Linked DNA regions of Canis lupus familiaris. The protein of the gene in region 1 purifies or fractionates together with the protein of each later gene. This does not show direct contact. Links are inferred from orthologs where the notes say so. Each region holds a gene or a part of one and is shown on either strand. Other genes may lie near its edges.

Region 1 (3,500 bases):
AAATTAAACACATCTTCCCTGGAACTTCAGTTTCCTTTAATTAAACACGAACTGCCCGTGTTGGAATGCTTGGGACTGAAAGCAAAGGAATTCCAGATTACAAGTTTTAATGCTAAAACTGTTACTACCTGGATCATTATTTTTAGCTATTTTAGCAGTGTGTCATTGCCTCTTCCCTTTCTGGGACATTTTATTCTGCTTGAGAGTTTTTTGGGATACTCAACTAGTTAAGAAAATCGTTAAGAAGGCCTGCTAGCAAAACCAATACAGAATCAGCAAAAGCAGACGTTTTTCCTATTGGATCCAGAGGGGAGGTGCAGCAGGAGAAATCTTGTTTTTTACAACGCTTTCTGTGCAGACTCTGGTTTCTCCCTTTCTGTTAGGTGTGATGTTAGCGCAAAAGAGAGTGCTAACTCTTTTCAGAATGAAAACTGGGTACTTCCAGACAACTTAGGCTTTTTAAATATTGGTTTGTTGCTACTCATACTGGAGGGGAAGTTTTTAAAGGGGCTCAATATTGTGATGGTTTAAAGTAGGTGGTTTACAAATTGTTCTTTTAACAAGTGTCTAGGCAGCTCTCTGAGGAGCCAGAAATCTGATGTAGTTCTCCTTTGTTCTAGGTTATACTACTCCAACTGCCCCCCAGGCATACAGTCAGCCTGTCCAGGGGTACGGCACTGGTGCTTATGATACCACCACTGCTACGGTCACTACCACCCAGGCCTCCTATGCAGCTCAGTCTGCATATGGCACTCAGCCTGCTTACCCAGCCTATGGGCAGCAGCCAGCAGCCACCGCACCTGCAAGGTAAGGCCACACTCCCCTAGTTCTGAGAGCACATCAGCTTGTTTCAGGAAAGAGAACAATTACACTGTATCCAGGACTTCATTCCTTTTCTTTAGTGGTTACTCTTAACATACTTACTTTTAGATGGTTGAGTATGTTCTTAAAGTCATCACAGGAATGCTCTAGAGAACACACCACAGATATATCATTCTCCATTTAGTAGAAAAATGGTGCTGTCCAGGGGCCAAGATGAGGAATGTCACTGACCAGTTTCTAGGTACCTTAGTCTAGTTTCAGAAGAGTGATCTTTTGGGATAGGAAGAGACTATTATATTTACTTTACCAAACCCAGAGAAAAACGGAGTGTGTGTTTCCCTTCACAACAGAACTACTGATAGAATTGCACTTTTGATTTTATTGACCTTGTAAATTGATAACAACTTTCTCTTTGGGAAAAACTTGGCAGTTTACAGTACAGGGGAGGTGGGAAGCATACACTGCTATCTGAGTTAAAGGAATTGACATTTTTTCTGTATTCTGTAGTGGCTTGGTCATTTAAATATCACAGGCAAGTATATATCTTAACTGGGTACCCTGCTTTGAGGTGAATATTTGGACAAACAGATTTCATACTCCATGACTAATTAGCAGGTAAACAGTGCTGATTATTACTTAACAGAAGATTTCAGGTCTTTGCTTTAGGCAATGCACATAGGTGGCTTCTGCATACAGTCTTGAAGGAACATTGAATTCTGATTTGAAAGAAGACTTTTTAGGGAATAAACAAGAAATCAACTTGTAACCTAGACTTTTTGCCTACTGTGTAGAGGTAAGAAATTAGCTCTGGCAAACACTCATGAAATTACTTCTAAAAGTGCACAGTGAGTAATCAGAGCTACTTGGTAGTTTACATATGCTGGACAACCTGTGCAGTAGGTAGATTAAACTAATGGATTCCTGTAAAGCTCCGTTTCAGTTGACCTAGGCATTTCAGAATGTTTTCAACTATTTGAAAGCCCATTTGATGATCATTGCCACGGTATATCCAAGCCATAGCAGGAGTGTGGGGGTTATTTATTGATTTTTATAAAATAATGCTTTTGGTTTTTTTTTTTTTTTTTTTTCCCCTTGATTTTCAATCCTTACACTTTAAAACTGCCTCATGATCAGTGTCAGCAACTCCTTTTTCCACTAGAAAGAGGGGGCTTCTGACCCATTTCAGCTCTGGAGAAACCAGTACACTTCCACATCCATCTGGTTTGCCTGCCGATTCTTGGGGGTTTGCTTAAAATAGCTCAAGCTCACTGTGCTACACTCTTGTTGCAAACTGTTAGGGCTGAGAGGTAATAGAAAAACCCTTGGGGTTTTGTTTTGTTTTTTCCTTTGGGATTGGTTTTCATTACTTAATATTTCCCAGTTCAAGGGTTGTTGGGAGCTGGGGCTGGAAGTTGGGGGATCCCTCCTCTATTCTGGTATTTCCATTATGGAGACTTATTTATGTCAGTCCAACTTAGGAAATGTATTTTCAAGTCTGCTCTTAATAAATGAGAAGTCTAAACTCATAGTAATCCAAATTTATAAGTGCCCATGAACTTCTATAAATGTTATTCTGACCTGAAACTTCAGCATTATTATTGAAGTTCCTAGTCTGTCTTCAACAGTCCTTTTTGAGTAAAAGTATTTTCTTCCCTAACAAACCACTTCCCCTCCCAGATCACTTAAGTTGTCAATAGAAAATAATCGTAACTGCCTTTGATTGCTGCTAGTGTGCAACAAATGTAACATGTTGGTATCTCATCTGTGGATGTGATTAATTCTCCCCCTTGTTAGTGTTTTCTTCCAGCAAATATAGTTGGACTGGGGCTGGGTTTGATGTAGTTCAGTTTATAGTTGTATTTACTTCCAAGCTCAATCCTAACATTGCACATTGCTCAGAGGTTTTAGCGTTCTTACCCAAAGTTTTATGGTCGAGGGAAAAAGTCTTACTTTTTTATTTCTCCTTTTAGACCACAGGATGGTAACAAACCCGCTGAGACTAGTCAACCTCAATCTAGCACAGGGGGTTACAACCAGCCCAGCCTAGGATATGGACAGAGTAACTACAGTTATCCCCAGGTACCTGGGAGCTACCCCATGCAGCCAGTCACAGCACCACCATCTTATCCTCCTACCAGGTCAGTATTATCTTTGTCCTCATGGCCAGTGAGCTAGTAGAATCACAGGTTTTATTTTCAGACTGTTGACCAGCTTCTTCCTCAGGTGAAATGAGTTCTCTGACTCTCCCAGTTATAAGGCTGACCATTCAATGTTACATTAAAACCTTTGAAGGACATTTTTTTTTTTTAAACTTCACTTTAATCATTTCATATTTAACTCAGGGGTCCATTCATGCACAAGTCTTTTAATGATTGATTGGGCCAGGGCCTTTCATCCAGAGCTCTAGTCTACAAGTCTACAGGTTTATATGGCACTGTTTTACTTAACTACCCCAGCAGCTACAATGTCTCGTTTGGGTTTCTTGTAAAGCAGAGGAAGAACTGCAGGTTTTCACACGCACATTTAATTAGAAGCAGGTTTTCAAATGAGCTATCTGAATTGTGTCTTAAAGTGTTACCCTAGTTTTGCTAGAAGTAGCACTTACCTTTTTTGCACTCAATTTCATTGGTTTACATATTAAAGTGCCTCAGATGTGGACAGGTTTGGGAGCAAATACA
Region 2 (4,132 bases), on another chromosome or scaffold:
TTTTATTATGTCACTCTAAAAACTTTATAGAGATTTCCATTTTACAGAAAGGAAAAAACAAAGTCCTTACAGCAGCCTACAAATCCTTCAAATCTCTCCCGTCTTTCCTCATTACAGCCCGCCACGGCCTTTGCATGTGTTCCTTCCTCTGCCAGCAAAGCTAACTCCCTCCCTTTAGGTCGCTGCTCAGATGTCACTGAATTAGAGAGGCCTTCCCCCAGGTCACCCCATGTAACACCGTGACATCCATACACTCCCCTCCCCCACAGACACAGAAACACTATCCCCTTTCCTCGCTTTTTCTATTTTAATCAGCAATCTTTATTTTTTAGTTAGCAATCTTTAAATAACATAAAGATTCATTGTTTTATTCCCCCCCATTGTGGTATAAAGCCCATGAGGGCAGGAACTCACGTGTCCAGTGCCCTCTGCCCCAGTGCCTAGCACAGTGCTGGGCTGATGCAGTGTTCAGCACAGGTCCAGTGGTTCCAATTGTCCATCTGCGCTACGGCCCCAAGGACCTCTGAACGGCTTGTCACCAAGCTCCTTTCCTTGAGCTCCTTTTGTCATAATTTGGGAAACATTTACAACCAAGAGACAACAGCCCCCACAATGAAGGACCTCGAATCCCGCGCCCCCGCCCCCCTCCCCCATCTGTAGAAATAAACAAAAGAGACATCAGATGAGCAGCTCGCGAGGGCCTTAGCAGCTCAACAATTCTGTGACGCTGTCTGGCCAGGTTTGTGAGACCGTCAAGCTCAGTCTGAGTGAGGAGGCAGGAAGTTGGAAACCAGCGTGGAAGGAACTGAGAGGAACATGCTCCGGCCTGGTTAAAAACACGTGCTCAGGCCTTCACCTTCTCTGTGTCGAAAGGCCACGGCTTTTAACCGTCCTCGCCCGGGGAGGGCGCTGAGGGCCTGCCAGGACCTCCCGAGGCAGCGCCGACGAACGGAGACCATGGGACCCGGGAGTCTTCCTCAACAGGGGCTCCACCTGCGTGTTGGTTCTTTGTTAGCCAACTGCGCTCAGCCCCCGACCGTGAATATTCTGCTCAGAAAACGCACTTCGGTGTGAACCAAGCGTAGCAGGGAGTGCTTTAACCTGACTGGGACCTCGTCCGCCGACCACCTCCCGAGAGAACCGACAAGGAGCATCCATCATGGCTGCCGGCAACAGCGCAGCGAGAGGCAACCGAAAGAAAATGGCGCCGGGGCGCGCGGCCGGTGACGGCAGGCCCAGGCCGGCGGAGCGACCCAGGGACGCCATCCAGGAACCCTGAAGACCCGCCTGGACCCAAGGCGCCGGGAAACCCTGACACTTCACGACTGCAATATGGAGGACGGTTATTGTGTCTGCAAACCAACTTGCACAAGGAGGCCCGTGTTCCGTCCCGCGTTCGGAACCCGGCAAAATCTTCTATTCTCCAAACAGAATGCGTTACGCACACTGCGCATCTTCGCAATAGTGGGCCGGGTAACGACGCAAAGAATGTTACGTCGCACCGGAGGCTCTTCCCCTCACCCCACCCCACGTTCTAGTTCAGGTGGCGCGAGCACTCTACGCCCGCTTCGTACTTTATTTTTCTTCTACGGACTGCAACATGTGCCGGTCTGCGCAACTGACGTAAATGGCTTCCAAGAATGCCCTTAGTACTCCGCCAAGCCCTCGGGCTATTCCAAGACGCTGTTTACGTATCGTCTCCGACGTACGTAGCGTTAAGCTGGAGCAGTCTCAGCGCCGGCCGCCATTTTGTGCAGTCGCTGGGAAGGAAGGAGACGCCTAAACCGCGGCACTGCCGGGTTTGAGCGTAGCCAAACCTACCCACAGTTTTTATAACCCCGATTCTCTGTGTTTTGCTCCCGTCTCCGACGAGAGAGGCGGCGACGGTGGCGTCTGCGACGGGAGACAGCGCGTCGGAGCGAGAGAGCGCCGCGCCTGCCGCCGCCCCAACAGCGGAGGCGCCGCCGCCATCGGTCGTCACCAGACCGGAGCCGCAGGCCCTCCCGAGCCCGGCCATCCGTGCCCCGCTCCCAGATCTCTATCCGTTTGGGACCATGCGCGGAGGCGGCTTTGGGGACCGGGACCGGGATCGTGACCGTGGAGGGTAAGGGGGGAGGGGGAGAGGGAAGGCCTCGCGTGTGCGTGGGCCGGGGGGAGGGGGAAGGTTGTTTCCTGAGGAGACCGCAGCCTGCCGCCGAGCGGGAGACCTGGAGCGGACTGCAGGCCTGGGAGCGACGCCCCCGACTCCGGGAGGCGAGGCGACCTGGGACATAATAGCGGTTTGGTGTGCGGGCCTGCGGGTGGGCCTGCGCCCCGGGATCACGGGAGACCCGGCGTGGGGGGGCGGCCTGGCGACGCCCCAGCCCCTCCTTTCGGACCGCAGTCGTGGCGGGGAGCCGGAGCGGCGGCCCGAGCGCCGCAGACCCAGCCTGGCCTCGCCTCGCCGCCCGGCTGCCGGGCCCGGCCGATTTGGGCAAGTCATTTGATCTCTCCAGGCCTCAGCGCTCATCTGTAAAACACGGATGTTCTTGCTGAGAAGAGGAGGAGGTCTCCGAGTTCGGCCTGGGAAAATCTTGACGCCAAATGGCTTCCCTTATCTTATCTGTCGCCAGAGATAACTGCTAAAGGAACTGGAAATCGAGTTGGAAACTAGACGCCAAATGGCTGATTTCTAGTTTTAAATGTATCTTAAAATCCCCTTTAGTGGTATTTCAGATAATTCGAAGGAAGCACTTTGGACAGTAAAGCAGTGGAATTGTTTGCCATCTAAATGATCTTATTTGAGGAGGGGAGGGAGGGTTTTTTGTGGGTTTTTTTGTTTGTTTTTTTTTTGGTTACTGTAGGGTTCCCTCCCACCCTGTGTTCTGTTCTTCTCCAGTTGGACTGGAGTATTAGTTGCTCGGCCTGGTTAGAAAGTTTCGATGCGATAATGCCACGGCTGAAAGTTAACAAGATTAAAGTTCTTCCCAGATACTGAGATTCAGATCTTAACATAAGTTAAAGGGAAAAGTTGCCTAAGAGATGCGAATGTTCGTGCTGTTAACTTTTTGTAATAAAGGTCTTATCTCTGGATAAATAATAATGGAACGCCAGTTATTAATATATATACATATGTGACCTTGGGCAAGATCCTGGACCTTTTTGTGAGCCTATTTTCTCAACTGAAGATGGGCATAATAATTGCCTTTACTTTGCATTGTTTTCGGGAATTGAGATCTATGTAAAATTGTGTCTTTGTGATAGGTGTTCTGTTGATATTTTCTCCAAACATTTTTGTCTTTTGCGGTTCAAATACAGAAGTCCCAGACCTCTAGTCATAAGCACCTCAATTCACTTGAATTGCCGAATAAAAAGGATTATTTTGTTTATACCTTGTTAGAAAAGAAAATATTTGATCTTAGTGTTAAATTTGGAGGGCTAGAAGTGGAATGTTTGCTTAGAGTTTCACAGTATAGCTCAATTTAGAAGTGAATTTCAGTGCAACCACTTGAGACAAAGAATTTTTGACATTACCTAGTAGAAAATGACCCAATAATTCCTTTCTTAAGCTTTGTACCCTAGACACAAGCCTAGAGAAATCATTGTACGTGTTCCCCAGCATTCATGTACAAAAAATGTTCATACCAGCACTGTTCATGAAAATATTGGGAACCACTCTTCTGTCTAGATAAAGGGTGGGTATTCATTACAGTAGAATGTAACACAACCGTGGAAGAAAAAAAAAAAAAACTTGCATCAAAATGGATGACCAGCAAACATTGAAAAAGCAAGTTGTGGTAAAAGGATACGTATATGACCGGACTCCAAAAAGCAAAAATCAAGATGGTAGTTGTAGTGGGTTTGTAAACTTGAAATAGGCACAGAGGGCTACCAAGGTACTGATCATGTTCTGTTTCTTTACCATACCATAGGTGTTTGGTTTAATACTTAATTTCACCATATACATGTTTTAACAAATTATTTGAAAAGAAGAAAAAGTAAATTACTGATCCATATTTCTACCCCATATTGACTATCAGATGACATTTTTTTTAAAGCTTTAAACTTTTCACACAAAATGGCACTTTTTCATGATGTTTGTGTCCTAATTCTACATTTACCATGAAATTGCATTTATGATTTTGAGTTACTA

The links.
Region 2: the proteins of EWSR1 (region 1) and DDX17 purify together in Homo sapiens (affinity purification with mass spectrometry; 3 studies listed by BioGRID, with this or other methods). This does not show direct contact. The link is inferred for Canis lupus familiaris from reciprocal best matches to the Homo sapiens genes EWSR1 and DDX17.

The regions. Positions count from the first base shown.
Region 1 is NC_049247.1:23,000,198-23,003,697, forward strand, and holds part of EWSR1 (RNA-binding protein EWS), read left to right. Parts: intron 1-620; coding exon 621-807; intron 808-2,792; coding exon 2,793-2,960; intron 2,961-3,500. UniProt on the Homo sapiens protein: Binds to ssRNA containing the consensus sequence 5'-AGGUAA-3'. Might normally function as a transcriptional repressor. EWS-fusion-proteins (EFPS) may play a role in the tumorigenic process.
Region 2 is NC_049231.1:27,281,383-27,285,514, forward strand, and holds the start of DDX17 (probable ATP-dependent RNA helicase DDX17), read left to right. Parts: upstream 1-1,332; coding exon 1,333-1,473; intron 1,474-1,811; coding exon 1,812-2,104; intron 2,105-4,132. UniProt on the Homo sapiens protein: As an RNA helicase, unwinds RNA and alters RNA structures through ATP binding and hydrolysis.